Linked DNA regions of Mus musculus: regions 1, 2, 3, 5, 6 and 7 are each reported to be linked to region 4. Evidence: microRNA targets listed by miRTarBase, many of them from high-throughput screens and not tested one by one. Region 4 holds a microRNA gene; each other region holds the end of a gene's coding sequence.

The links. The annotated mature microRNA mmu-miR-546 reads AUGGUGGCACGGAGUC and lies in region 4 at 2,973-2,988, opposite strand. An mRNA with a match to its seed (bases 2 to 7 or 8) in the 3' UTR can be bound and repressed. Matches are read on the target gene's strand: a 7mer-m8 pairs with bases 2 to 8, a 7mer-A1 pairs with bases 2 to 7 and ends in A, and an 8mer does both.
Region 1: miRTarBase lists Pigv as a target of mmu-miR-546. Seed matches in the 3' UTR shown: 7mer-m8 at 2,817-2,823.
Region 2: miRTarBase lists Ddx58 as a target of mmu-miR-546. Seed matches in the 3' UTR shown: 7mer-m8 at 2,821-2,827 and 7mer-m8 at 1,400-1,406.
Region 3: miRTarBase lists Slc28a3 as a target of mmu-miR-546. Seed matches in the 3' UTR shown: 7mer-m8 at 2,594-2,600.
Region 5: the mRNA of Rhoh is a reported target of mmu-miR-546. Seed matches in the 3' UTR shown: 7mer-m8 at 2,345-2,351.
Region 6: miRTarBase lists Fam118a as a target of mmu-miR-546. The part of its 3' UTR that is shown has no 7-base or 8-base seed match.
Region 7: miRTarBase lists Ttyh1 as a target of mmu-miR-546. Seed matches in the 3' UTR shown: 7mer-m8 at 2,780-2,786.

The regions. Positions count from the first base shown.
Region 1 is chr4:133,659,002-133,663,059 of GRCm38, forward strand. Pigv (phosphatidylinositol glycan anchor biosynthesis, class V) reads right to left here. Exons shown (of 4, transcript NM_178698.5): 4 at 2,424-3,790. The coding sequence ends at 3,509. Among named protein-coding and RNA genes, the nearest start is that of Pigv, 12 kb to the right of the region's middle.
Region 2 is chr4:40,202,547-40,206,612 of GRCm38, forward strand. It overlaps Ddx58 (DEAD/H box helicase 58), which reads right to left. Exons shown (of 18, transcript NM_172689.3): 18 at 1,231-3,560. The coding sequence ends at 3,264. Among named protein-coding and RNA genes, the nearest start is that of Ddx58, 35 kb to the right of the region's middle.
Region 3 is chr13:58,552,298-58,556,363 of GRCm38, reverse strand. It overlaps Slc28a3 (solute carrier family 28 (sodium-coupled nucleoside transporter), member 3), which reads left to right. Exons shown (of 18, transcript NM_022317.3): 18 at 548-3,057. The coding sequence ends at 674. Among named protein-coding and RNA genes, the nearest start is that of Gm38494, 7.9 kb to the right of the region's middle.
Region 4 is chr10:126,997,393-127,001,458 of GRCm38, reverse strand. It overlaps Mir546 (microRNA 546), which reads right to left and starts at 3,019; the gene lies at 2,899-3,019. It overlaps Ctdsp2 (CTD (carboxy-terminal domain, RNA polymerase II, polypeptide A) small phosphatase 2), which reads right to left. Exons shown (of 8, transcript NM_001113470.1): 8 at 1,484-4,066. Avil (advillin) reads right to left here and starts at 750. Exons shown (of 20, transcript NM_009635.3): 1 at 628-750.
Region 5 is chr5:65,892,579-65,896,644 of GRCm38, reverse strand. Rhoh (ras homolog family member H) reads right to left here. Exons shown (of 3, transcript NM_001081105.2): 3 at 1-4,066. The coding sequence ends at 3,681. Among named protein-coding and RNA genes, the nearest start is that of Gm32474, 18 kb to the left of the region's middle.
Region 6 is chr15:85,060,799-85,064,864 of GRCm38, reverse strand. It overlaps Fam118a (family with sequence similarity 118, member A), which reads right to left. Exons shown (of 9, transcript NM_133750.4): 9 at 2,035-3,333. The coding sequence ends at 3,314. It overlaps Smc1b (structural maintenance of chromosomes 1B), which reads left to right. Exons shown (of 25, transcript NM_080470.1): 25 at 1-176. Among named protein-coding and RNA genes, the nearest start is that of Fam118a, 26 kb to the right of the region's middle.
Region 7 is chr7:4,133,359-4,137,424 of GRCm38, reverse strand. It overlaps Ttyh1 (tweety family member 1), which reads right to left. Exons shown (of 14, transcript NM_021324.6): 12 at 4,023-4,066; 13 at 3,687-3,762; 14 at 2,018-3,559. The coding sequence ends at 3,724. It overlaps D030047H15Rik (RIKEN cDNA D030047H15 gene), which reads left to right and starts at 499. Exons shown (of 3, transcript NR_033548.1): 1 at 499-864. It also overlaps a transcript of Leng8 not described here.

The DNA of each region.
Region 1 (4,058 bases), not on the chromosome of region 4:
CAATGTGCTCAGGAGTGCAGGTTGTCAAGGTTTCCTGGTGTTGTCTCTGCTGGAGCTACAGTGATAGGGTCTTGTACTTGGGTCCCCTACAAAAACAGGACTTGGGGCTCTTAACCACCGAGACATCTTTCCAGTTCTTTTTGTTTTGTTTTGTTTTGAGACATGGCCTCACTACGTAGCCCTGGATGTCCTGGAAATCACTCTGTAGACCAGGATAGCCTCCAATTCACAGAGATCCCCCCTACCTCTGCCTCCCGAGTCCTAGGATTGAAGGTGTGCACCACAGTAGGCTTAGATTTCACAATCTTCCTGCTCCATCTCACAAGGGCAGGGACTGCACGTGTGCACCACACCATCTTCAAATTAAAACTTTAATTCATCCTCGTTATAAAAAAAATTTAAGTAGAAAGATAGCAAAACATGTCCTTTATGCCTCAGAATTTGCTACTTCTGGGCCAGCACTCAGAGGGCTCAGTGGGGGAAGGGACTTGTCCTCAGGCCTGACATGCCCAGTTTTAAGGACAGCATAATAAAGAACTAAGACTCAACAAGAGGGCAATGCTGACTTCCACGTGGGCTATAGGATGTTCATGTTCACACACACTCACACACACACACACACACACACTAAAATGTTGCTTTTTAAAGAATTTACCACTTCCCTAATGAATGCTCCGGTGCACTGGCCAGCAACACTTGAGGACAGGAGGCGTGGCTAGGCCTGCCTTAGTCCAAAACAGGCATTAATAAACAACTGGTGAAAAGAATCCTTTTAAAAACTTAAGCCTCCACACTTTACATTTTTAGACCCAGACTTCCGCTGCCCCACCCCAGTGGGACTACTAGAGACCCGCCAAAGCTTCCCCTTTTCCCACCTCCATTAAAGAACAAAAAGACATCCACTTCTGGGTCCTCAGAGTGTCTGGTTTGTATTTTAGCAGGGTCTTGGAAGGAAATGACTTTTCTCTGAAACCGTGGCCGCCCCACCCAGCTGTGGCATTCTTAGACCTCGGGGAAACAGGAAGCTCCGGCCTTGGGCCCTTCACGGTCCTCCTTCAGACTATTAAAGACTGTTAATAGGCCGGTAAAGGGACAGCTGCTGGTCATAAAGTCAGCCCGCTCCTTACAAGCTGAGCCGTGAGCCTCCCAGGCCAGAAGCCCGGCCTTCTCCAGGTGTGCTTACCTAGCCGGGGTGCCCAGGTGTAGGGTTTCTTCAGTGATGGCTCTAGGGACAAAACAGGGGAGACTGAAGCTGCTCTGTAGGGGGTGAGTCACCTCTCCCAGGAGAGGAACAATCACTTCTGGTTACCCTCCAAACGGAGGCAAAGTGGAGCAGAGAGGGAGACCAAAGGATCCCGGCTCCTCCCACGCACTTTTTTTTTTTTGGAGGGGGAGGGGGAGTCCTAGGATTTGCAGCTGCTGGGGAAGAGGCTGCAGTCTGCCAGCTGGAGGGACACACTAGGGGAGAGGTGTTGTCTTTTGCCAAGAAGGGCACTTGGTGTCTTGGCAGAAGGCAGAGGGCTGCCCCAATCTGTGTGTACATTTTCAGTAGCATTTGACTCTGGACCAAATGCTTGGCTGTGCTAGTGCTGTGGTGCTGGGTGGGAATGCTCGTTGGCCAGGCTGGCTGGAGGCTCCCACAGAGGGTGCTGGGCCTGGGCCAGGAGCTTCCCTTCAGCTGGCAAGTTGAGCTTTCTGTCACGGTCGGAGGGAGTGTGTCCAAATTCCAACTCCGAGCTTTCCAGAAGCCACTGCTGACTGCCATCTGTTTTGAAGAATGCTGCTTATTGGAATTTTTGGCCCAATGGGGAGTAAGGATGGTGACACCGAGCCAAAGTTACCTGGCTCAAGAATGCACAAACGCTGCGCAGCAGGGACACTGTCTTTCATTTATACAGGGTCTTATTCTGTAGCTGCCCTCAAGCTCACCTCAAGCCTCAGCATCCTGGAGTCATCCTTCCTCAGGGGCAGGGTTACTCTTAGTAACCACAGGGAGCCAGGAAGCAGGGCAGATGCTACAGTAGACAACCTTGGACTGACTTAGCTACAAGGTTCCCCCATCAAGGCTGTGGGGTAGGTGCCTCTGACTCATGCAAGTGTGATCTTTGAGAATGGAAAACCAGTCACCCTGGGTTACCCTTTTCCACCAGGTGTCATTACTCTCCACGACAGCTTCTATTCCGAGTTGTTCCCAGAGGTGGGGGGGAGGCTGTTTCCAATTGATCAAAGGAGGACTTTCCCATTAGACCACTTGTGAGCCTCCATTTATCTTTTGTTTAAGGTAGCCTCAAGATTTAAGGCCTAAATCACACCCCAGGGAAGAAGTCTCCTCCTTAATTTCAGAGAAGGCAAAAGCTCTGAAGGTGGCTTTAGATCATACAGCTGGAAAGTGAGGAATGGGAGCCAAGATTCAGACCCTGTGCTCTGATCCAAGTGGTGTTTATTACTGAAATTAGGGCCTCGTGTGCTTTACTACGGAGTTCTAGCCTCAACCCTCTATAATTTATAGAAACTAGTTCGGCAGAGGTAGGAGGATCTCTGAGTTCAAAACCAGCCAGATCTACATAGCAAGCAAGTTCTAGGACAGTCAGAGTTACACAGAGGGACCTTGTCTTAGCTCCCCTGACTACCCCTCCTCCAGAAAAAGGTAATTCATTGCAAAAGGAGTATTTAGATTTTCACAGTCTGTAGGATAGACACAGACACACACACACCAGTATCATAAAGAAAACTTCAGGGAGCTGGAGAGATGGCTCAGTGGTTAAGAGCACTGGCTGCTCTTCCAGAGGTCCTGAGTTCAATTCCCAGCAGCCACATGGTGGCTCACAACCATCTGCAATGGGATCTGATGCCCTCTTCTGGTGTGTCTGAAGACAGCTAGTGTACTCATATATAATATAATACATCTTTAAAAAAAAAAAAAAAGAAAACAACCACCTTCAGAAACCTCTCACTTAGAGCAGGCTGTCTGTCCCCTCTTCCTTCTGTCACTACACTGCACTGACTCCACCATCCTGAGTGGGGCAGGCTGTTGGCCTGTGCTTTGATCAAACATTTAAATTTATCCACCAGGCCAGGCAGGGGTGGCTCACACTCAGTGGTGGGCCTAGTACTCAAGAGGCAGAGGCAGATGAATCTCTGAGTTCAAGGCCAGCCTGGTCTACATAAACTTGGTCTACAGAGTGAGTTCCAGGACAACCAGGGCAATGTAGAGAAACCAACCTTCTCTCAAAAAACAAGAAGACAGACTTACACGTGGATCAGTAGTAGGTTTAAGATTGCCTAGTACTTGTGGACTAGGGAGATCTGAGACCCCTGCACTGAGCACTGAAGTTACTCCCCTACACCTGCCCCGCCCAGGATGAGAAGGGGCGCCTGTGCTCCCATTTTCCCTTCTTAGCTGGCCCCCAGAGAGACCCAGAGATCCTACTGCACAGTGCTCTCCGGAGTGTGCGGGCTGTCCCAGCCAGGGTGTCGTCTTAGAGCTTTCATTCCTTGACACTCCAGGTCAAGTCCAAGGCAGGAAGTTGCAATGGAGAATTAGTCCCAGAAGCCAGTAGGTCAGGAAGTAGACCAGAACGCATCTTGTGACTGGAGAGCATCTCTTCCAATCGTAGAAGAGTTTCATGAGACAGTTTCTGGGGGCCTTCTGTCCTGGTGGGGACTTCTCCTGAGGAAGCTTCCCAGGCTCTGTGTCCACACACCTCAGCAGCGGTTCTTGATCCTGAAGCAGGTGAGCTGGAAACCAGTACATGATAGGAGTGGAAGAGGCCAAAAACCGCGTGAGAACCTAGAAAAGCCATGTTGGTTGGAGCATCAGTGATGTGGCTGGGTCAATCATGGCCTGACAACGAACAACATCCCACTGGGAAAGCAAGTTCAGCAAAAGCTGCAGATCTGCCTAATACCGAGAATGTTATTAATCTGCCGATGCCAGACAAACCTCGTGTTCCCAACAACCAGTCTCAGTGGAATTACCACACTAACGGGCCAACCAATACTAAAAGGTCTCTCTGAGGTCTAATTTTACCCACAGTCTCTACATTTTAGTCTGCTTT
Region 2 (4,066 bases), not on the chromosome of region 4:
AACAGCCTTGCTTATGAACACAGGAACTGTGGTTCTACCGGCTCTTTAGGAAGTTGTTAAATGTTGTAAGCACAGATGTACTTTAACACTCAGCTAATTTCTGTTCTCTTAGTCAAATTGCCATAAACAAAGATAATCATAGCTGGCATTTTTATTAGGAGTTTTAAAAGTTCGCACCCAACAAGCCTGTACCTGTTTATTAAACACAGATTTGTAAAATGAAGTCGTAGTTATATTTTATGGTGTATTATTAAAACAGTTACTGGCATGATCCAGGAGTGTACAGTTCACTTGGATTCTACCTGTCTAGTTGATATTTGTTGGTGGGTTTTTACAGGATGCTAATTAGCAAGGTCCAATGAACTGAAGTGTTTCAGGAACCACTGGTTCAAGTTGATGTTAATATGATGGAAGCAACACAGTGACCCGTGGGCTGTTAAAATGGAAAAGGGTACAAAAGTCTCCCTGGCCACTCAGTGCATCTGTCAGGGGACCTCACAACACCATCCCACAAGACATGCATGCAGAAATACTGGCATCTGGTTGACTTGTTTGAAATTACCAAGTCTGTTTTAAGTATAGGAGTCAGGAGTCCAGCGTCCTTACTGCACAATGAGGCCTTTGACTGAAGGCTCCAGGTCAGGATGAAAATGCTATGATACCAATACTGACCACAAAACAGCAAGGTCTGTGGTTGCAGAACAAGTTGTATCTCAGCCTCAAAAAGGACACATGGATGGCAACCTGTGAGGACTCTAGTGGGGACTGGTGATGTGCTCATGGGAGAGTCCAGATGCAACTTCCATCAGGGAAGTCCAAAGACAAGCATTTTCCCATCTCTCAAAACCTTCCTGTTGTATTCATTCAGTACTTAGTAACCCAGGGTTTGCTCCATTCCAGGGTATGCTTGGCAGTGGCTTAAGTCAGTGTACAACTCAAAACTTCATTTGGTCTCAGATTTAGTCTGCTTTTCCCCATTGGCAAAAAAAAAAAAGGGGGGGGAGGACTATTTCACTTCAACTGATTTATCATTGCCAGGACTGGAGAGATAGCTCAGCAGTTAAGAGCACTGACTGCTCTTCCAGAGGTCCTGAGTTCAATTCATAGCACACACACACACACACACACACAGCAACAACAGCAGCAGCATAAAACTATAACAATAGAGAGGATCCAATGCCCTCTTCTAATGTGCACACAGACTTGCAGAAAAAAACACCCATATACATAAAATACATAAATTTTTAATTAATTAAATTATTGTAATGTTTACAAGTTTTTTTTCTCAAATAATTTCCAGTAGGTATCTTATACAAGCTGTAGAGTTCTTAAACTGTAGCAGCAAAGAAAGGCAACATAGACTAAAAGACATAAATGAAAGTCAGCTCTCAGCCAGGCGTGGTGGCGCACGCCTTTAATCCCAACACTTGGGAGGCAGAGGAAGGCGGATTTCTGAGTTCGAAGGCCAGCCTGGACTACAGAGTGCATTCCAGGACAGCCAAAGCTATACAGAGAAACCCTGTCTCAAAAAAACAAGAAAAAAAAGAAAGTCAGCTCTCGGCAAATTCATTTTATTGCACTAAGAATTTTACCAGTAACCACTATCAAGAACTACTACATATCTTTTTTTCTACCTATTCTATCAATTAAAAGCCTAATCCCTATAGGTGTTTTTTCCCCAAAGAGTTATGTTGCTGGGTAATTTCTCTAGGCATCTGTGAGAAGTGGTGTGCTATCCCATGTCATACTGTTGACCTCCAGGGTTGACCTGGGGAGTTTGGGTAACCCACTGTGCTCTGGGTGGGCTTGGGATAGTCTTCAAATGTAAATGTCCTGGAAGGGGAGTTATGTGGTCAGATGATCTCTGCAGTTTGGTTTAGGCCATTGATGGTCTACAACTGATGAATTACAAGTAAGTTCTAGGAAGGTGTTAAAACCACTGTACTGCCTACAAAACCAGCACTGTTCCTTCCCTGAACTGAAGAGTACTTTGCTCTGTTGGCAGTAACAGCGCTCAGACACTTGTCTCTTGATCTGAAGAACCCCAAACTAAGCTCTCTGAAGCACTGGCACACCTTGAGAAGAAACACGGAAATGCCATTTGAATATATAATGTTTAAGAAGAAAGGGCAAGCCAGGCATGGTGATGCAGGCCTTCAATCTCAGTGCTCCGGAGGCAGAAGCTGGCAGATCTCTGTGACCAAGGGCAGCCTGGTCTACACAGCCAGGGCTACAGAGAGGAACAGTGTCTCCAAAAGTAAACAACAACAACAAGCCACGTCAGGGAATGAATTGGAAGTAGTTCAAACTTTAAACATGAGCCTTTATTGAAAATAGCTAGAGCCAGGCATGGTGAAAGATTTTAATTTCAACACTTGAGAGGCAGGGGGATCTGTGAGTTCAAGGCCAGCATAGTCTACATATGGAGTTTCTGGTCTACAGAGAGACCCTGTCTCAAACAGGTGGGAAACAGACAGACATACAGACAGGGTTTGAGATGTCTATTCAAAGACGGGAAATGGCCCAAGTTAAAAGAACAGATGAGAGCAAGGGTAAGATGTATAGTAATGAACAGAACAGAAATACCATCTCAGTAAGCATAGCTGTCAACTATAGTCTTTTACATTTTAAATTATATGTCATTTTAAATATATATGTGTGCATACTGAACCTTGCAACTACCAAATTTGAGTCAGCAAAGAAACCAAGGAAGAGACAGAAACCAGGAGACTCTGCAGAGGGTGACAGGGTGGCAGGGTCAAATCCGGAAAGGAATCAGTGCAAGGGACAGAAGGGACAGAAGGGATCTGGCAGTCAGTCTGGTGGCCTGAAAAAGAACTAAGTCACTGTTCTTAAGGGCACTGTCATTAAGGGCAAAGGCAGCTTACAGCAGATCGAGCAGACAGAGAACGGGAACCCTTCCAGCACGCCAGCCATCATGCGTCTCGGTGTACCGAGTGGCTGCACGTTCCCTGTCGGGCAGTTCTGAAAAGTGTAAAAGGGACAAGTTTAACCCCTCCCCACCATGGCCAAGGGCTACGCTATGAGTTATTGGTGAAGAAACTATTCGGCGCCGCAGTTCAGGCGTGTGTGCTTTGTGTGGACAGCACCAGCTTGAAACCAACCAGTCAGGTTATCTGGCATTCAACACAGTGCAGGCTTGTGTAAGAAAGGATTGTGCAAGCTTGGGTAAGAAAGCATTGGCTCATCAACTCCATGCTTAAGGCACGGCTCCCTGCGGCACGAGACGGAGAAGCCTGAGGTCATACGGACATTTCTGCAGGATCGAACTGTATCCTTTCAAAATGAAAGTCCTTCCACTTTGAGTGCCGGTTCTGAACTCCGCTCACAATATCTTCCACGACGAAACTTTCAATTTTTATGACTGGAATCTCGAACGTCTTGTATCTCACAAAAATTCCCCAGTCGTGGCTACAGTTCTGTTTGGCGCAGAATATCTTTGCTTTCTTCTCAAAATTGTCATAGATCTTTGGTTTAGGGTGTGGCTTACACACAAAGCGCTCCTTAAAAGCGTCTCCAAGGACAGTGTAGTGGGACGTCTAGGAGGAAGAGATGGAGCGCACAATGTTAGAAACGGGTCTGAAAATGACTTAGAAGCCACTCAGTAGCTAAAAGTCAGGAATGAGTGGGATCCCATTTATTTTACAAGTTGGAAGAAAAAAAAACTATATAGACAGTCTTCCCCAGGCCGATTAGGACCCATTTCCTGGGCGTCTGGCACCTGAGAAAGGAGGAAACCCAGCTTTCCAACTCAGAAGCAAAGAGGAGTTCACATACAAAGTTCAAGTTCACCAGAGGCCAGGAAGGCACCAAAGCACAGGGCTGGTGACACCCAGGGGTCACAGGGTATGTGTGTGAACAGGCTCAGGAGCCATGCTGTCCACAGACCCCACTTAGACTTGACTTAAGAGAGTACCCTACAACTGAAGGAACCCCACAGGGAGAAAAACAATATCAACCAACCAGTCCCCCAAGAGCTCCCAGCGACTAAGCCATCCACAAAGGAGTACACATGGCTCCAGCTGCGTGCGTTGCAGAGGATGGC
Region 3 (4,066 bases), not on the chromosome of region 4:
CTATTTGCAAAATCAGTGCCTTCACTCCACTTATTTTTATTCACATACAAATTAATATTTTTTAAGATTTTGGGTTTGTTTTATAAGTATGTATAAGCAGGTATTTCTGTGTGCTGAGTGCAAGCAGTGCCCACTGAGGCCAGAAGAGGGCACCAGAAGCCCCAGAATTGGAGTTACAGACAGTTGTGGGCTGCTCTGTGGGTCAAGGGGATTGAACCTGGGTCCTCCAGGACAGCCAGTGTGCTCTTAACTGCCTAGTCATGGGTCCAGTTCATGTACAGGTACCTTTTTATTTTTCGTTTGTTGTTTTTGTAAGAATTAGTTCTACCCTGTCATTGCTATTCTGAAAGAAACAGTGGGAGTTCTCAGGGCCACCCAGAATCTGAGAACCAAAACCAACCCTCAGGAGTCTCTCTTAAACCCACCTATCTAGACTGGAAACAAGGGAATCCGCTTCCTGTCCTGTACCATTTCCAGTGTGCCCTTGTCTACTCTCCTCCTGCTCCCACCTAAGGCCCAGCTAATGAGTTCCTTCTGCCTCCACCAGCACTGTTGCCAAGGGACCAAATGACGTCGTCCCAGGAGGAAACTTCAGCCTCTATGCTTTGAAGAGCTGCTGCAACCTGCTGAAACCACCAACGCTGAACTGCAATTGGATCCCTAATAAATTGTGATCTCAGCCATGTGTCCAGTGGGATTCTGCATGCAGATGCTGGAGTTCCTGCCCTGGAGGGGATAGAAAACTCCGTCATGGACTCAGACTTAATGGCAAAGGAGGAACAAGGTCAGGAGTGAGTCCTCCTGAGCTACAGTGTCTCCCTTCTCCTTTCTCTCCTTAGCCCACCATCTCTGCATGGAGAACTAGGATGTTGTCCCTAGCTGAGGTGTGATCCTAAGCCCCAACAATATTTTCTGACTTTATAGTTTCAAGGCATTTCATGAAAAAATATGTGTATATAAACAAATATATACACATATATATGTCTGTGTGTATATGTATATATATACACATGTAATAGTATATATATGCATACCATATATATTTATATAAATATATATATACCAATATATATGGTAGTTCCCAGCAACTGGGCCAGATAGATAGATAGATAGATAGATAGATAGATAGATAGATAGATAGATAGATGTGTGTGTGTGTGTGTGTGTGTGTGTGGTAGTTCCCAATATGATTTAAACACATCTCAGGCAAGGTCATTCCACCCTCACTCAAGGTCATCTGAAATACCTTCAACTTGAATCTCATGTGAAGGAGGGCTATTCTGCAATGGCCCATTCATTCGCTACCATCCAGAAGTTTCTCATAGATCAAGAGTCCTTCAGAAAAGCACGCAGGCCATACGAAAGCCAATACTTGAGTCCATAAACATAGAGCCTTGTAAGCAGCAAGCTTCCATCCACCTATGCTGCAGAGACTCCCCGCTAACTTCAACATCTTACAAATCTTTTACGGATATGTTTGAAATGCTCGGCTTCAAGATTCTAAGTCTCATCAGCCTCAGAGGCTTGTAAGCAGTCGTCCTCCATCTTTTTAAAGTTAACATTGTATTTTTTGAATGAATATCTTTTATTCTTTGGCAATTTTACACATGTGTATAATGTACTTTGATCATACCTACCCTTAATTCCCACTGCCCCCACCCTCCTAGACACCCCTCAGCTTGTCTCCACCTCACCTTCTTGCCCTCTCCTCTATGTTTTGTAACCTTCTGAGTCTAGGGCTGCCTGCCACAATGTTGCCTGGCACTGTTGGCTTGATCTTGTGGGAGTGACCATTTCTTCTGTAACTTACTAAGTCTAGGGTTGCCTGCAACAATGTTGCCTGGCACTGTTGGCTTGATCTTGTGGGAGTGACCATTTCTACCTTGAGCTCATGAGTGCAAAGTCTGTCCTGTTCGGAAGACAGCATCTCACAGCTCTTCCCCAGCCCCTGGCTCTCACATTCTTTCCTCCCCATCTTGAGCTCTATTCCCTGTGCCGCAAGGAAGTAGCTATAAATGTTCCAGTTGGAGCTGAGCACTCTGTAGTTGTGTATTCTCACATTTATCATCCATGAGTCTCTGCATTGCTAAACTGGGGTTTAATCATGTCTGTTTTCAGTACCCTGGCTAAAAGAAGTGGTCCCTATATGGGTTGACCTTAGGGAAACATGCAGAAACAGTGTAATAGCTCTTAACTTTGCTGCTAGGAGCCAGATTTGGTGCACACTCCTGTATTCCAGCTCTGGGAAGCTGAGACAGGAAGATTATGAGCTCAAAACCAGCACAGGGTACATAGCAAGAGTGTGTCTCCAAGCAGCAACAGCAAAATTTATACAAGGTAATAACACTCTTCATTTCCACTCTGTGCTGTGAGCCAGAGAAGTTCTGTGACAAGGAGGTGTCTGAGGCCATAAATGAACTATCCCTGTCACAAGAGGAAAACAGTGGACACTTTTTTTTTTTTTTTGGTTTTTCGAGACAGGGTTTCTCTGTGTAGCCCTGGCTGTCCTGGCACTCACTTTGTAGACCAGGCTGGCCTTGAACTCAGAAATCCACCTGCCTCTGCCTCCCGAGTGCTGGGATTAAAGGCGTGCGCCACCACGCCCGGCTACAACAGTGAACACTTTGAAGAAGTCAATAGACTACCAAGGTGCCTGACATCCAAGTCTCTGTGATTGTGTATATAGACCTGTTGATGTGCAATTTTGTTACATTCCTGATTAAGACTGTAAAACATTAGTGCTCAGTCAAAAAGCCACGTAAGGGCCAACTATGAAGGACACTCAATGCCCACTGAGGTGGGGATGGCTTTCACTGGCTCTCCTGTCAATCAGCAAGACACCAGCATCATGAGTGCTCCCTGGGGGTTATCAGCAGAACTCGCTTTAACGAAATAAGTATCGACGGTGCAGAGAACACACTGAGGAAAACCTGAGCCAAAGACGACTCAAAAGGAAGAGTGTCAGCGGGGAAAGGGTTATGCAATACCTTAGATGATGTATTCTGTTTCCCCTTCTGACCATGCACGAGAGCAATTAAAAAATAATCTATGCATAAATAGTTGGGATTATTTGTTGGTTTTGCTTTATGTTTGGTGGTGTGGGAGGAGGGCTTGTGTGTCCAAAGAACTTTTTGTCCCTGAAGTAAACAGATCAAGGTATTTCTAATTTTTTTTTTCGAGACAGGGTTTCTCTGTATAGCCCTGGCTGTCCTGGAACTCACTTTGTAGACCAGGCTGGCTTCAAACTCAGAAATCTGCCTGCCATTGCCTCCCGAGTGCTGGGATTAAAGTCGTGTGCCCCCACACCCGGCCCGGTATTTCTAATTTTTTTTATTATTTTCATCAATCTTTCTCAGTCTTTATACTTTAGGAAAAGCCATTTGTGTGTCCTTGTAAGCCTTAAGGTTTCATTACAGCCTACGGAACAACGTCGGAAGTGCCAATTATTCATATGTTGGTTCTCTCTTGTCTTCTATAGCTACTATCTTCTCTCTGATGCTTTTTTTGTTGTTGTTGTTTTTGTTTTGTTTTGTTTTGTTTTGTTTTGTTTTTGTTTTTTGTTTTTTTTTTTTTTTTTGGTTTTTCGAGACAGAGTTTCTCTGTGTAGCTCTGGCTGTCCTGGAACTCACTCTGTAGACCAGGCTGGCCTCGAACTCAGAAATCCGCCTGCCTCTGCCTCCCAAGTGCTGGGATTAAAGGCATGTGCCACCACACCCGGCTCTCTCTGATGCTTTTTAACCTCCTGATTTTTTTTTATATATTTGTATATATTCTTCCTGAGAATCCCTGAGAGAACCTTTTTGTTATTTCTAGAATGCCTATCAATTTTTTTTTAAATTTTGTCTTTGGTCAATATGTTTCTTTGTTTAACTCTTTCCTGAGCCTGTCAGCTTGCCTCAAGGAAAGCAATTATGACTGTTTGTCAAAAAGTTTTTTCTCTTTAGTTTGTAAAAAATAGACGTTCACAATGAAAACACTGTTTGTTAAACTGGAATAAGAAAATCTAAAATATAATAGTTTTACACGAACATAACTAAACATCTTTCTGCCCATTCTGAGCACCCCA
Region 4 (4,066 bases):
TTCCTTCAGGCCGAGTTCTCTCACTTTTAAGTCTAATGCGTGACCCACCCAGGAAAGGGAACCAGAGCTGACACAGTCCTGGTTATCGGTAAAGCCTAACCAGCAACCTTAGCACGGTGAATCCGAGCCCCCAGTGCAGTCCCATGTCCCCCATGGAACTTCAGAATCCAGGAGCTGATTAGAGACCCAAGATTCAGGAAATGCCACACCCAGAAAGCCCAGTTCCATCTATCCACATCAAAGTCCCCCAAAGCTGGGTCTGTTTGTCTTCCCAAGCCGTAACCACCAGCACTTTGGGGTACGGAGAGCTACAAAGATCACAGGCACGGGGTATGGTCTGGGGATTCCAGGTAGCTTGTAACCTACTGGGGTTTAAACTTCTCTTGCCCCACAGTGGAACAGATGAGAGGGGTCTTGTTACCCCAAATCCCTGAGCCTCAAGAACGTGCCCAACCTAGCCAGTGGGATCTACAGGTTCTCTCAGTGTGAAGTTTGCAAAGCTCCATCTTTCCAAAGCTGCATCCCCAAAGACAAAAGCCAGGGAAGGTATGACTCTTGTCCCTTCTTCACCTTTGGCCTCATCCACACTCAGCATTTGGCTGACAAGGACACACAGAGTAGACCTACCTGACCCTCTGTCCTCCGAAGTCCGGCAAAGCAGCAGGTGAAGTACTGATGAGGTCTCCCAAAGCAGCCCGTCCTGAAGCCTGTTTCAGCAATGGCCGCACAGCATAGACACAGGGTTATATTTGCTTGTGTTTGCATCATAACCACATTCTCCTAGCTCTGGCCAATCACAGCCAACCTAGCCCTGGGCTTGACTTATTCAAACCAGAGAGGAAAGCTTTATCTGCTCCTATGCAAAACAGCGAAAACAAGAAGAGCAGACTTCTAAAGGCTTCTTTTAACTCCAGCTCCACACCCTGGTCTATTGATTTTTTTAAAAGTGCACTGTCCATCAATAATTCAGTGAGGGAGGATATGAATTTGCCATATTGTAGATATGAACGTATTATGCTGATGACAGGAGACTGGCTAGAGCTCCCCTACTGTGTGCCTGGACGTTCAGGGCTGAGAGATGATTCTGGGCAATTCTGTGGTGTCAGGAAAGCTTTTGTTGCTTGGAGTCTGTACAAGTCATCCTACTATGTGCCTGGAAACCATGCTGGGCTCTGAATCTCAAGGCCTGTTTGGCAGCATCAAGAGCACATGCAGGAGCCTCCAATTCCCCCAGGGCTTCAGTCTCTACCCCAGTCAATAGCACAGCAAGCAAACGCTTGCCAAGTACCTGGGGAGAGGGAGTTGGTTCCAACCCAGGCCCGAGAGGGGCTAATGCACTCCAACCTCTGTAACCTTGATCAGAATCCCAGCGTTTGCTCTGCCAGGTGCTATCATTTCACGATCAACGAGGTCATGCAGGAAGAACAGTGTCCACCGAGTGTCAGGTCAGTGGAAGGGAAGGAAAGCAAAAGCAGCTCCCAGTCCTGCACAGGTTTTTAAACCAGCCTTTATTAACAATTGTAATACAAATATTCCAAAAATATAAACAGACTCTTAATGGCATCCTACAGTTCAAGTTTTTGAATACAACAAATGTATCAAATCATGAAGCAAGGTGGCCAAGGATCCCATAGCCTGGTCACAGTGGGAAGCAGACCTCTCCCCTCCAAATGGCATCACGGGAATAGCCAGATCCGGGGTAAGGACAGGCATGGAGAATCACCAGCTTATGGTGCAGGGCAGTTCTGGGAGCTAACCCCGAACTAAAGGATGGGGCAGCTGGCCTGACCTGTGACCTCTTCTCCCCTGAACATGGACTTATCTGTTTTCTAGAAAGAGGGACTGGGGATGTAGCTTAGTTGGGAGTGTGTGCCTGACATGCACGAAGCCCTGGGTTGTCCCCAGCACCTCACAAGCCAGCAAGGTGATCACACCTGTAACCCCAGCACTCAGGGGGTGGAGGCAGGAGACCAGCGATCACCTGTAACCCCAGCACTCAGGAGGTGGAGGCAGGAGACCAGCGATCACCTGTAACCCCAGCACTCAGGAGGTGGAGGCAGGAGACCAGCTATCACCTGTAACCCCAGCACTCAGGGGGTGGAGGCAGGAGACCAGCTCAAGATCACTCTTGGCTAAACAGGAGTTCAAACCCGTTTTTAAAAAAGGAGTAGCCGTGGTTTGGAAATTCATCAAACCGTGTGTGTGTGTGTGTGTGTAGGGGAGAACTAGGACATTTTTAAAAAAGGAGTAGCCGTGGTTAAGTAGCCCAAAGGGGAAACAGCTCACCGTTTTCACTTAGCCAGGCCAACACACTGGATGCAGGACAGCACAAACAGGCCACACTGCCAAGAGGCCTCTGAACAGAGCAGGTCATGGACCTATAAGGGACCCATCTCCCAGGAATGGTTGCTGTGAGGGTCCCATGCTTTTAGTACAAAGCTTTTCTGAGCCACTGTTAACAGGGGGAGGGGGGTTATACAATTATACAAAAATCTTTGGGAGGGAGTGAGATAGGTCCCTGGTTGAACGAAGGCAAATTCACTCAACTTCTTTAATTAGGGACCCATGGGCCTTCGGTGTCCCCTCTACAATGTGCAGAGTGGAAACCCTTACCTGGCCCTTTATCAAACTGGTCCTGTGTCCAAAGCTCCCCCTATAAGAGGGACAGGAACGTCAGGCTTTTGATGCGAAGCCCAATCAGACACACACTGTGTCCCTGAAGAGGCACCTTAAAGAGCTGAACCCGGCAGGGGGCAGATTCCTAGCATGGCTTGGAGTGGATGCTGACACCTGGTCCGGTGGTCTACTGACTCCTGAAGACCAGTCTGCACTGGGGCAGGCGGGCTGGTGGCAGTGGAGCAAGGGCTTCAGGAGGCACTGGCTCCTCTCACTTGCCCTCCTCTCCTCCCCAGTATCACTTTGCTTCTAAAACATGGAACTAGCACAGGGATAGCAAGAGACAACATCTAGCTGACTCCGTGCCACCATGATAGATCCTGTTTAGTTTTGGGAAGAGAGGAGTTGATATGGCATCTTTGTGGCAGACTGCAGGTGGTAAGAGGACTCTGGTGGCAGTCAGGCCTAGAGAGCTGGGGTTTCATGGAGAAGTAACAGGGCTCCCATGAAGCCACACTGGGCTTTGGTCACATGGAGAACCAAGAAGCCAGAAAGGGACCTTAAAATTCAATCAACTCTGAGGCTCTTATTGCTTAGTCAAGACCAGCCCTCAGAGCTTTGTGAGAAGACCCCTCCTGCAGTATTGGGATGCCAGTGAGATCAGGGTCTGGACCTGAAGCCACAGTCAAGCTCCCATGTTCCTGGCTAGCACCTGCAGCCCTCAGCTCACCTTGGGAGGACCCTACAGACACCAGCAAATGAGGCTGGGGAAATGGCATGTGTTTGTCACAGAAGTGAAAGCCAAGGCTCCATAGCCTCGGGCCCAGGAAGAAGTCTGCAGAGTGCTGGAGGAATGCCAGCCAGTCTCCACTCACACCACCACACTCCTCCACCAGGCTTTCTCAAACCCCAGGCAGGACCTCGTGTGTGGAAACTAGAAAAATTTGAAAATATTGACTCCTGAGTGGGAGGTACCACACCTGAACCAACCCACAAACGCTGGCCGGCCTCCAGGGGAAGCAGAGATGGGGTAGGAACTCCCGCCCACCTCGGAGGGAGGCAGGGAGTGGGCGGGACTCACTTAAGGCAGTGAGGTGGAGGCCCCTCAGGGGCCCCTTGTGTTCCCAATGGTAGCTTTCCACTTTGGGGAAACTTCCACTCTGTGACTGACATTGAAAGCAACAGGGCTGAGAGCTCAGAGCTGCCCAGAGCACAGAGCTATGAGGACCTCACTCAGTCCTATAACGAGAAGCAGGAGGCATTTGGCAAATCAAGTAAGAGCAACACTTGGGACAACCAATCAATTAAGTACAACCGGGGAAAGTCCTTCTCCCAAGGCTCTGGAGAGGAAGAGCAGCAGCCGAGAAGGATAAAGGCGAGAGCAGACGAGAGCTGGCCAGGGCGGGACACCAGGAAGACACAGAGGGAGAGCCAAGCCCTCCCCAGCCTT
Region 5 (4,066 bases), not on the chromosome of region 4:
GGGTGGGGCACTTGCCTGGTATTCAAGAGGCCTTGATTTTGATAACCAGTAAAATGCAAAACAATAAATAAAAATAACCTTTTAAGTTGTGTGTGGTGATGTGTGCCTATAACGCCAGCACTGGATAATATAAGACAGAAAGAGCACCATGAGTTTAAGGTCATAGCAAGATCCTTTCTCAAAACAGCAACAACAGTAACAAATGAACAAGCCAAAATCATCATCACCACCATCACCACCACCATCATCATCATCACCACCATCTTTTAAATACAAGCCCTTTGACTAGTAGGGGGAGAGGCCTGCAGCTATGGGATATCAGATGTGGCAAAGCCATGCAGGTAACTGCTCAGGGAGGAAGTGGGCCATGATGGTTTTGAGTAGAGCTTTGGAGCCACACAGACCTGCTCCAGACTTAGGAGTTCTGATACTCACCCACTGTATGGCTCGGGCTTGTCCCATTAACATGTTGAGGGCCAAGTTGCTCGTGTGAGCCACTTACATACCACACAAGAGCTTAACACAGTGCCCAGCTATCTGAAGTGCTCGACATACTTGCACCATCGGGATGCTTTTTTTGTCATCTTGTCACCTAACCCATTGTATGGGGCCAACCTATTCTGTTGCCCTATTTAGCTAGGCTGAATAAAGTAAGACAGAAAAGCACTGGCGTGAGGGAATGTGGGTCCCTTCCCCCTCAAACTGCTCCTCTGAGGCCTGATCAACTGTGATAGGATTAAGAGATAACGTGGTCAGAAAGGCGGGACCTTCACAGATGGCACGAAGGCTCTTATGAGAATAGATCAAACTCCCACCACACACATGAGGACATAGCAAGAAGCCACCAATCAGATGAAGAGGTCCTTCCACTGAGCTTGACTGTGCTGACACCTGATCCCAGACTTCCCAGCCTCTGGGATTCTGCTTAGGCCAGAACAAATGAACTTAACCACTTAAATCCACTTTCTTATGGAAACATGAGCATCTGTAATTTTGCTACTTGGGACACTTGAAGGTGAAGCATACAAAAAGCACCACCTATTGAAGGGGAAGTCTCCTACACCTTCATGGATGTGTGCAAAGCTAAACCTACAGACCCGTGAAGATCAATCTCTTCCTTCCTCTCACACAACTTCATCTAGCTATGGTTTCTTCCCTGCGCTGGGCCCTGAGGACACGGAGTGAACTATGAGGCAGCATAGCCTCAGGGACACAGAGAAGAAAGGCCCTGCCTGGCTCAGTTTCCACCAGGTGCACATGAAGGAGGCTTCACACTTGAATTTCTGCCCTCCAGTGTGAGGCTTCCTTCCTTAAAGGAGCTTTACCACCGGCTCCTGTCAACAGGCAAACCTCACTCAGGTCTATCAGCAGCCTCGATGGCCTCCCCTCCTGTCTCCAGCATGAAACTTCCTCTTCCTCCCTGGGGCCTTCCCACGGTTAGATGCTCCCCAACCCTACCTCCCTTCAATAGAAAGAAAAGCATTAAGGGACAGCCTACTGAGTGTGTAGAACTGAGTGTGTAGAAATTAATTTCTTCAGTGTGTTTTAAACTATTCCACAGATTAAACTTGAAGCCGGGTTTGTTATGAAAGACCTTTCGTAGGCCTAGTAGCTCACACCTATCGTCACAGCACCGGAGAGGCTGAGACAGGAGCACCATTGCAAGTCTGAGGTCATCCTGGGCAACAATGTGAGGAGAAAAAAAAAAGTTTCAATTTACAGCAATAAGAGTGTATACACACACTCCAAAAGAAAAATAAACACAAAATCCTTTGTGTGTTGGAGAATGAGGAGAGAATCAGAGGGACATGAGGGACCTGGAAGACATAGTCCCTGTCTCCTCCTCTGTCTGCTCATTCCAACCTTCAGGATGCCCAGTGCCGTGAACAGAAGACATGAGCTCTCAAGGCAAGGGACGGAGGTGGTCCAGCCGCAGAACCAGAAGGCTGAGAGATTAGCTGACAGCACACCTATTAGCCCTGGGAAATGGCAAGTGCTTCTTCTACCCAGACCAAGACCCAGGTTCCAGGCTTGTGACTGAGCTTGGGAGAGAGACAGACAGAGGAGAAAACAGCATGGAGGGTGGGGGAGGCGTCCTAGGATATGTTTAACAGACTGTATCCACAGAGAGTCAGCCAGAGAATCCGTGTGACAAGCTGACTTGCTTATGTCAGTATAATCCACAGTAGGGTTGCTCCTGCAGGCTCCTCACTCTTCATGATGACAGCCATACAACCCCTCTACAGTGCTGGGCTCCAAGAAAGGCGCTACAAGTGTTCCCAGTTATCAGATTGGAACTACAAATGATACATCAGGGTGTAGAAAAGGTGATCGAAGCTGGGCGTGGTGGCACACGCCTTTAATCCCAGCACTCGGGAGGCAGGGGCAGGTGGATTTCTGAGCTCGAGGCCAGCCTGGTTTACAAAGTGAGTTCCAGGACAGTCAGGGCTATACAGAAGCCCTGTCTCGAAAAACTAAAAAAAAAGAAAAAAAAAGAAAAGGTGATCGACACTATCACTTTCATACAATCAGGAAGGAGGATTGCATATATGCACACCTCCCTATTGAGTTAGTATTTCCCAACGACTCTTTATTATCTGAGTAGGGAGACTTACTCATTCTCTGAACCTGAGATCTGTAATTTTTTTCACAAGTGCGTATCTATTCATGAAACAGTAAAAGTCATAAACACTGCCTTTTCCCTTATACATATACACAGGCATGCTATATAGGCGCCTTTCTAATTGCTTTGATTCAGTCTTAAAATTAATAAATGATGGGGTTGTGCCAGCCAATTAACTATTATTTATAACAACACTTGCCTGCCCTCTTTTCCCGAGACCTGTAACCAATCAGGAAGTACATGTCAGATGACACAGGCAAGGAGAAGGGGTCCCTCAACAGCATCCATGTGACTCTCGAGATGAAAGATTTTTTTTTCTTTCCATCTCTGTCTTAATGAGTGAGAAAGGAACACTTGGTGTGCAACTGGAGTTCTCTGAGTGACAGGTAATATCGTAAAGAAGAAATTTTCTTTTGTAATTACAGAGAAAGTCATTTGGCAGTGTTAAAATACCTTCTGGGCCAGAGCTGTATTTTATACACAACTCTGAATAACAGGGAAATGGAAGATGAATTACAGAGATCAGTTTATGGTCATTGGAAAGTCTGATGAGCTAGAAAAAAACACAGCACACAAAGTAGTTCCAACCAAATTAAATTCAGGAGTAACAATAACGCCACAGACATATGGTTGAACCCCACAAGGTTATTTTCTCCTCATACAGCAGTTTGCCTTTTCAAAGAAAAGACTTCCAAAGCATGAAAACAAGAGCTCGATATTTGGTTATTATTTAAATAAGATGTGGATTTAAATATGGCATAGTTGGGAAATGCACTTCATTGTCTAAATTAGGATGGTTGTTTTAGTCTCTCATTGAAGATGGACTACTCATATGGCTTCCCAAGGAATCTCTCTGGTTGTGCTGGGCACAGAGTTCTTCTGCAGAGTAGAGTTAGTGGAAGCAGCAGCGGCAGACTCCCTCATAACCCCATGCAGAAAGCTTGTTCAGATGTTTCAAGACAGAGCATCAGTCCTCTTGGCTTGCCCTTTCCCCTCTCCTATGAGTCTCTGAGGTACATTCATACATTCATGAATGTTGGGCACAGGACCTTGGGGTTTAGAAGATCTTGCATTCATTGATGGAGAACAGCTTCCTTCTGTTTCGCCTCCTGGCCTGGTTGACAGCTGTTCGGACAGCACATTCAAATACCTGCTGTACTCCCCGGTTGCTGAGGGCTGAGCACTCCAGGTAGCCCTTGGCTCTCACATCCTGGGCAAGTCTCTTCCCTTCTATGGCATTGATGCAGGAAGCCCTGTGAGGTCCCACCTCTCTCTGGTCCGTCTGTGTGGCCACAACCAGCACCGGGGTACAGGGTAGGTTGCTCCTGATCTCACTAATCCATTTGTTCTTCAAGTTCAGGAACGAGTTATGGTTGGCCACAGAGTAGCACATCAGTACCACGTCTGCCTGCTGGTAGGACAGGGGCCGGATACTTCTGAAGG
Region 6 (4,066 bases), not on the chromosome of region 4:
GAAAAATCTCTTACCATTTTAGTAGAAAAAAAACTATAGCCCACTCAGCTAAGGAGTGCTCAGTGTCATTCCAATGGAGGTTCCTATGGCATCAATGAATGAGGTATATGGTTTTCTTTTGCTTTTAAGGGCTTTTGTTTTGAAACAAATTGGTTATAAAATTTTGAATTCTGCAACATCTTTACTCTGGTCTTGTCTTGCGTTTAAGGGAAACAGCTGGTCTGGGGGTCTGGTTTTTTTGTGGTGCTGGAGAAGGAACCCAGAAAGAATGTCTAAGTGTTGTACCACTGAGTACCTCACAGCCTTAATAGTTTCTAAAAATGTCAGTCATAGTACAGCTAATAAATTGTTGAGCCTGGCTTACATGGGAGATTATTTCAGAGAGAATGTGTGTCAGTACTGAAAACAAAGTAATTTCACAAGTTTTAAAAACAGAAAACTTGTGAGGGTGAAACTGAGTCATAGAACTTCAGTATAACGCTAATGTTTCTAAGTCTAGTTTCTTGTAAGGGTACACTGAATTGTAAGGCTTTTCCAGGTTATAGGGACTTCATGTAAAGTCATTGTGGAAGCTGGAATGTGGTAGTTTTCAGCAGTGCTTGTTCCCATTTTCAAAGTAAAACAGGAGGATCCTGCAGGACTCCATAGATGTCAAATCTGATCCAAGTGCTGACCCAGGAACTGTTTTCTGAAACCTTGGCTCACTTCTGATTAACATTTGTTTCCTGTACACAGAACATGCTCTACACCTGCTTGGTAGACTGAGTTACAAGATTTAGTTTCATTCTATATATGCACACACACACACACACAAATAAAATGTAGTAAGATACAGTTATAGAACTATACACCCCCAAAAAAGCAAAGATAGCGTTATATACATGAAGTTCCTAAGAAATACACAAATGTTACAATTAATAGTTAGTTTACCCTGAAAGGACCCTGATGTTAGCTTACAAAAAATAGGTATGAATATGGCCATACAAAACTCATAGTGCATATGGGAACTAGAGAGCCTCTGAGTCTTATGGAGCTGCATAGTAAAGATTTCAGGATATTCTCTCAGCTCCAAAGAACTGGGTGCAAACTATTGCATTCACTTAGAACAAGGTTCAGCAGACTTCTTGAAGATCCAGTTAATATTTCTAGCTTTGGTGAAGCTGTAAGGTTCTCAGAATTACTTGAACAACTACTTAAAATGTGCCAACTCTCTGTCTCTGGGCAGTAACCACAAGAAAGGGCCAGAGCTTGTCAGCTAGCTTCATGCTTCTCAACTGATAAAAAGAGAAGCAAATACTTTGTGTTGAGACTGTTTCCTTTCCTAATGCCCGAATCACTGAAATAAAATGACATTCAAAACACACCATAACAAAATAGATATAATTCAGTATAACAAGAAAATTCAGATCCTTCGCTGTGACACTAAAGCTTTTCATAGACTGATTTGTTTTCAGTTTGTATACTGCTTTTATAGTCAGCTGAATGTAATTTTGCTAAACAATTTATTAGATCAACTTCAATATTTACCTATCTACCCCTGATATCACTTGGTAAATGTATTTTAAAAAGAAAAAAATGGCCCACTACTGAGTCTGTAATCACAATATTTAATGAGCTGAATAGGAGCATTGCTGTGAGTTGGAAGACAGTCTAGCCAACAAGGTAAGACCCTATCTCAAAATAATAATAATAATAATAATAATAATAATAATAAATAAATCATCTCATTCTGTTGGGGTCTATGCAGATGTGAGTAAAGGTGGCCACAGAAACCAGAAGAGGGCAATGTATTCCCTGGGTGGTTGTAAGTCACCTGATGTGGGTGCTGGAAACCAAACTTGGGTCTTCTACAAAAGTAATATGTGCGTTTAACTGCTAAGCCATCTCTACAGCCCTCAAAAAATAATTTTCAAAAATTCATTTTTTAAACACATTCAGAAGTCATTTGCTTGACTTCATAGTTCAGTGGCAACTCAAGCTAAACATTCTCATACCACATCTTGTCATAACTGAAGAAAAACTGAGCACACAGGGTTGACTTTAAAAATTTTATTTATAACCAGTGACATAAAAGATTTTCCACACTTAGAAAGCATGGGAGTGAGGAGGTGTCTTTAGCCTGTCTCTGGCTTCTCCCTCATTCCCTGTAGCAACCTATGTTTCCTGTTCTTAATTGTCAATATCCCTTGGGAGCTACTGTGCCGTCCATGCAATGTCACAGGCAGAGCTTGGCATCATATCAAAGATGGATAGCCTCAAATGAACCATGCAGGACCTGTTTCTAAGAAGTCTTCCTTTCAGGACCACTCTGTATAACATGTGAGCCTTTGCCACAGTCACTATCAGAGGAGCTGTGGACATATGCAGTAGTCTAAGCATGGGTGTTTTCCCAGAAGTTAACCTTGAATGTAGTTAAAATTTGGCAAGCCCTTTCAAAGTATTGCCTACTCCACTCCAAGTAAATCTTAATATGAACCGTGGGAAGAGAGGAGATCAGAAAGGATGGGCCTTATCCTAGAGAAATAAGACTTGGAAAGCTTAGAACTTCTAAAAGTTTAAAGCTTGATCTTGTGCTTCACTCTCCCTTTTTAACTTGGAAGTCACACAGTGGATCTAGACAGCACTGAAGACTTTGGGAAAGGTCTTCAGTCTGTCTGGACTTAACACTCACTAACAGTTAGTTTACCAATTCTTTGGAACAGAAATTACTAAAATGTCAAAATTCCAAAGAAACCAAATTGATCTAGTCATCCCTTTAAAAACAATTTTCACCAGTGGGTTCAGCCCCTCTACTATCCACTTGTGCTTTACTGTTTAACACTGTAACCAACACATCTTTAAAAAAAAAAAAAACTTTCTACAGCCAAAAGATGCTTCCATGTATTTCCACATAAAGATATAAAATATAAATGTTTATGTCTTATTTTCTCTTTGGCAACTACTGTTGCTCGAATAGTACTCATTCTCCTCCATGTATTAGGAAAAATAACACCCTGACATAAGAAAACATGTCAAATGGAAAAAGGGAACAATGCCAGGTACATCCCACCCCTCAATTTGGTCCCTGAGGTAGCTGTCCATAAGTCCTTATGAGTATACCTGAAGTGTGTCCATGTCACCTCCTGAGCAGCTAAACGCATAGTAGAGCTCTGTCATTCAACCACAAAGGCCACACACCCACATGGCTCTTTTGGGGGTGTGTGACAGTTCACTATTGAGAGATCCATATGGAGTCCTCTGTACATTCCTCATCACTTGGGCATGGCACTGTGGTTGCTGAAGGCTGGTTTTCAAGTTTCAAGTTTTAAAAACTTCAAGACCCTCCAGCATCATCTGCTTAAGCAAAGAAAATACAAAAGTGTTTCAGTTCAGGTAAAAGAAATTCTATCAGAATTTCTGTTTCAGTAACTACTTCACATGCTGGAAATTTTGAAAACCCTCCATAATGGTAATAGTAGCCACTGTCTAGAAATGGCATTGCAGAGCTATAAATACTACCAAGGACCAGGTACAATGTAGGGTATAAAGACTTATGGATATCTTTACCAGTTGCACACACACAAAAAAACAAAAGCATGTTTTAAGTATGGATAAGAAATGAAGGCTCAGAATGCACACACAATTTGACTGCCACACGTATAGAAACACCATTCCTCTTGGATTCTTTAGGCTTCAAGTGTGGACAGCAGGAGTAAGAAGGTGGCTCTTGGCCTTTCTCATCCACATGCAAAACAGGTCAAGGCTTTCTGCACATCAGAGACCAGAGAAATCTTCAAGCATACATAGCTGCCCAGGGAGAGGCAAGGCTGATACAGTTGCTAATACTTGGGGGGTTGGGGGAGGAGCTCTTTTTGGGTAACTTTCTGGCCCACTGCTTTGTGGCACTGTCTACCAGGCAGTAGCTCTAGCACCTGAACATGCAGCATTCAGAGAGATCATGAACATGTAAAGCCTAGTATACAAGTGACAGCAGGAAAAGAAAAGAAAAAGAAGAAACCCACAATTGCCTACTGAAAACAATCACTTTACACATCAGCAAACAGTGGAGGAAGCTTAGATGTGAGGA
Region 7 (4,066 bases), not on the chromosome of region 4:
AGGGGTGCGTCTAGGGCACTAGGGACCGCAGGGTTCCCAGGGCCAGTAGCAGAGCGGACGCGGACGCGCACGCGCACGTAGGGGAGCCGCCCCCTCCCCCCCCCAGCGTACACCCGGCGCGCATGCGCAGAGGCGCTCCGGCGGCCACACCCTTCAAAGACGCAGGGCGCGGCGTCGGTTGGCCTTACCAAACAGGCCAGGGCTCGCGGAGCGCGGAGCCCGAAGGCGTCCCTGTGCTCGCCCGCCAGGCCTCCCACTACTACCCACACTCACTAGGACCGCTCGCTCCCGGGACTCGTTACCGGCGGTCCAAGGCAGCTTCAAGACAACCAAGACAGCGCTCAGTCACCGGCTGGCTCTAGTCTGGGGCTCGAACGTCCTGACCGTGGCGTGATGACGTTACCCGGACGTCTGTCCCCGCCCTGTGTCGCGCACAGCCAATAGACGTCACCGCTCGGCTTGAACCGCCCACCACACGTCTCGCGAACGCAGTCGCGTGTTGGCGTTTGTCAGCAAGCCGGAAGCTGGCCCTAGACGGTGGCCCCGTGGGGACAAGTACCTCCCAGCCTCTCGTGCGCGCTCACAACAGCTTAGTTTTGACTCAGCAGTCAATAGTCTCTCAGATGTAACGCATAGGGACAGGAGTTGTGAGGCTGCGCACTGCGCTAGGACGATTTAAAATAAATGAATATATAAGCGGGTGGAGGGAAATGGGATAAGGTGAATCCTCCCTTGGAAGGTTTATTTAGTGAGTAAAATTGGAAAGGCGCACCTGGCGTAGGGAACAGCGAGTGCGAACCAAAGGAAGCGGGAAACGCGTCGCTTGAGGAATGGGAGTAGCCACTGGACTGTGACGCTGGAAAGGTACCTTGTAGGGTGTTGGGATGGTGAGATCTGCTCGGAGTGGCAGCTAGCAGAACTGTATCTTTTAGGATCAGGATGGCCCTGGAACTCAGAAACCCGCCTCCCTCTTAATGGGATTAAGGTGTGGGCCGCCACTTAAAGCTCACTGTTTACAGTAGGAGTGATTGAATTATGCAGCCCAACTTGGGATCTCCCGTTAAAATAATTGATAAGACTACCTTCTTATCAATTATTGTTCATCAATTGACCAGTTTCCAGTCTCACATTGTACAAGCAACTTTTGGTAATTAAACAACACTTGGATAACTCTGTATCATTTGCTAGTGTTAGCTTGGTAGGTTTCTTCCCATCTCTTTTTTATAATGAACTTTTATTTTAGAATAAATTTTAAGTTTACAGAAATTACAAAAGTAATACAGGAATTGGGCACACTATGCCCAGTTTCCCCTATTGCTAGATTCCACACCTCAAATTCATTTGTTAAAAGTAAGAAATTGACATTGCTCTAATATTCTGAACTAAGCCGCAGATGTGGGCGCTTTTTCTCACTAATGTTTCCGGTGCGCCATAGCGTAACCCAGAGCATCATGTTGCATTTGTCTTGCTTTTTTACCCATCCTGTCAAGAGCTGTTTATTGGGTTTATGATGCCCATTTGCTTTACCACACAACTGAGGTTCAAAAAAACAAAACAAAAAGCCAAACCAAACTAAACCAAACCAAAACAACAACAACAACAACAAAAAAAAAAAAAAAAAAACTGGGCAGTGGTGGCCCACGCCTTTAATCCCAGCACTTGGGAGGAAGAGGCAGGTGGGTTTCTGAGTTCGAGGCCAGCCTTGTCTACAGAGTGAGTTCCAGGACAGCCAGGGCTACACAGAGAAACCCTGTCTTGAAAAACCAAAAAAAGAGGTTCAGTGAGTCAAATAACTTGCTTACATTAACACTGAGGTGCCAGGACTAGGACCCATAGGAATCCAAACCAGCATTGTGCAAGAACCAGGGATACCCCTGGTGCTTCTGTAGTCACTTGAGGACCCTGCTCTGCCATCTCCCCTACAGAGCTGCTGGTCTTTGGGAAGAGTCCCACTGTGGCAGATTAGTTTTGTCTCCAGCGTTTAACTGAGCCAGGGGTTGCTTGTTTATTTCTTTCTGGAAGCTGGTCCCTCAAAGGATTACCAGGATAAGAGATGCAGTTTTTATCCTCTCACATGTAAGCATATTTATGTTTGTTTATTTGTTTTGTTTATTATTATTTTCACATAGCTGGTGATTCACAGTCTCTGGGCAGCATATTTAGAGAACCTGTTCCCTGGGCCTCCAGACCAGCACCAGCCCACACTCCACTCTAAATCCCACAACAAATAGGTACTCGAAAGGGGAAAGTAGCACATTGTGTTTGCTAATCATTAGAATTTGAACACTTTAGTTGGGTGTGGTGATACACGCCGTCACACGCCGTTAATCTCCTCACTAGGGAGGCAGAGGCTGAGGCAGGCTCTTCTCTGTGAGTTCAAGGCCAGCCTGGTCTACAAAGAGAGTTCCAGGACAGCCCAGGGCTGTTTCACAGAGAAACCCTGTCTCCAAAACAACAACAACAAAGACAAAAAAGACAATTTTATCCATTTGTTTTGGGGTTTTTGTTTTTCTCAGTTACTTATTATTAAATTGAGGTCTTTTTTGTTAGATAATAGAAGCTTTTTGAATTATGTTTATGTATTAACCACGTTTTTCTTTGCCATGTATGCTATTTGTTTTTTAAACAAATGAGAACTACATACATATTGTTCCCCAGACAATAAATTTCCCTTTTGACTCTGCCATGTTTGTTTTTACTTGATAACTTATTGAGTGCCTCATCTTTTCCTGCCTGGATTTATAATATCTTCCTTAAACCTTCCCCCTTCATATCACCCTGGTGGCACTACAAGCAAATATTCTACTTTCTCTTCGAAGACTTCTGTCCCTATTCTGATACAAGCGTTGGTTTTCTGGAGTCTTGTGCTGGGTGTGAGCTGCTAGGAAGCAAGTTGATTCCACGCCTTTCCTAAACCCAGCAGGCTTTGTACATTCCACGGGACTGGAAGCTTGACTGTTCCTGTGGCTGCACGCCTGTTTAGATTTAGTGCTAGGCTTATTCTCTTCCGGTATCTGCTTCTTCCCCCTTGTCAGGATTCACATGTTACTTATAGAAGCAATGCAGTGCTGAGCCTGGACAAGAGGAGAGTTGCCTTTCAACCACCAGAGGAGGAGTGTCCCTAGCCCAGTCAGGACTTCCTTCTCTCAGTAGTTGGGGTGGATAAGAAGGACCTAGCTGCTTGTAAAATAAAGCCTTCCCTTTTATTTCAAATCAGCCCTCTTCCAAGTTAGTGCCATAGGTTGAGATCGCTGGGGTATGGCAGGAAACAGGGACGTGCCTGTACCTGCCTCCAGCTTCATCCCTCCAAGGACAGGACTGGCAGCCAGAGGTGAGGAACACCAGGCTGTATAGGTCAGCCCCCTTCCCAGCCACCCCTGGTCCCTGTTGTGCCACCTCAGCAATCCCCTGTGCTAAGGAGAAATGGGGATGGGGGGGTGGGTGTTAGGGCCAGAGCAGGTTGCCATCCTAAGTGAGATGTCCATAGCCAGCAGTGTTAGTGGTCAGAGCCCAGTCAAGGTCAGGTTAGTGGGGCCTTCTCCAGCAGCCAGGAAAGGAGCTAGAGAGAGGGAGAAATGAAGAGCTGATATTCACTGGAGACCCTCCCATGGACATCCACCCAACATAAGAGAGCTACAACTACTGTAGGGGAGAGCCAAGACCCAACTGTACACATTGAAGGTTACCATAGAGGAGAGGCAGGCTCCAGACTGGAGGGGAGGCTCAGATGGAAGACTGCCACTGCACAAAGCGTTTGGATTCCTGGCAGGATAACCAGGGCAGGAAAGACACTCAGAATCTGTTGTGTACGTGGGGGCCCTTCTCTCCTCCCTCGGGCCCAGGCTTCCAGACCCCAGCCTCCTCCCTCATGGCCAAGACTCATCCCTGTTCCCCTAGGACCTCAGACCCAGAGGTCCAGTCTCATTTCTCTTCTTCTCAGACCCGAGAATGCAATACTCATTTCCCCTTCCAAGAGACCCAGGAGCTCAGGCCCCAGGCCTCCTCCCTTCACACCAGGATACCTGAGGGTTGAAAGGGTCATCGTCATCTGTGTCATCGTAGTCAT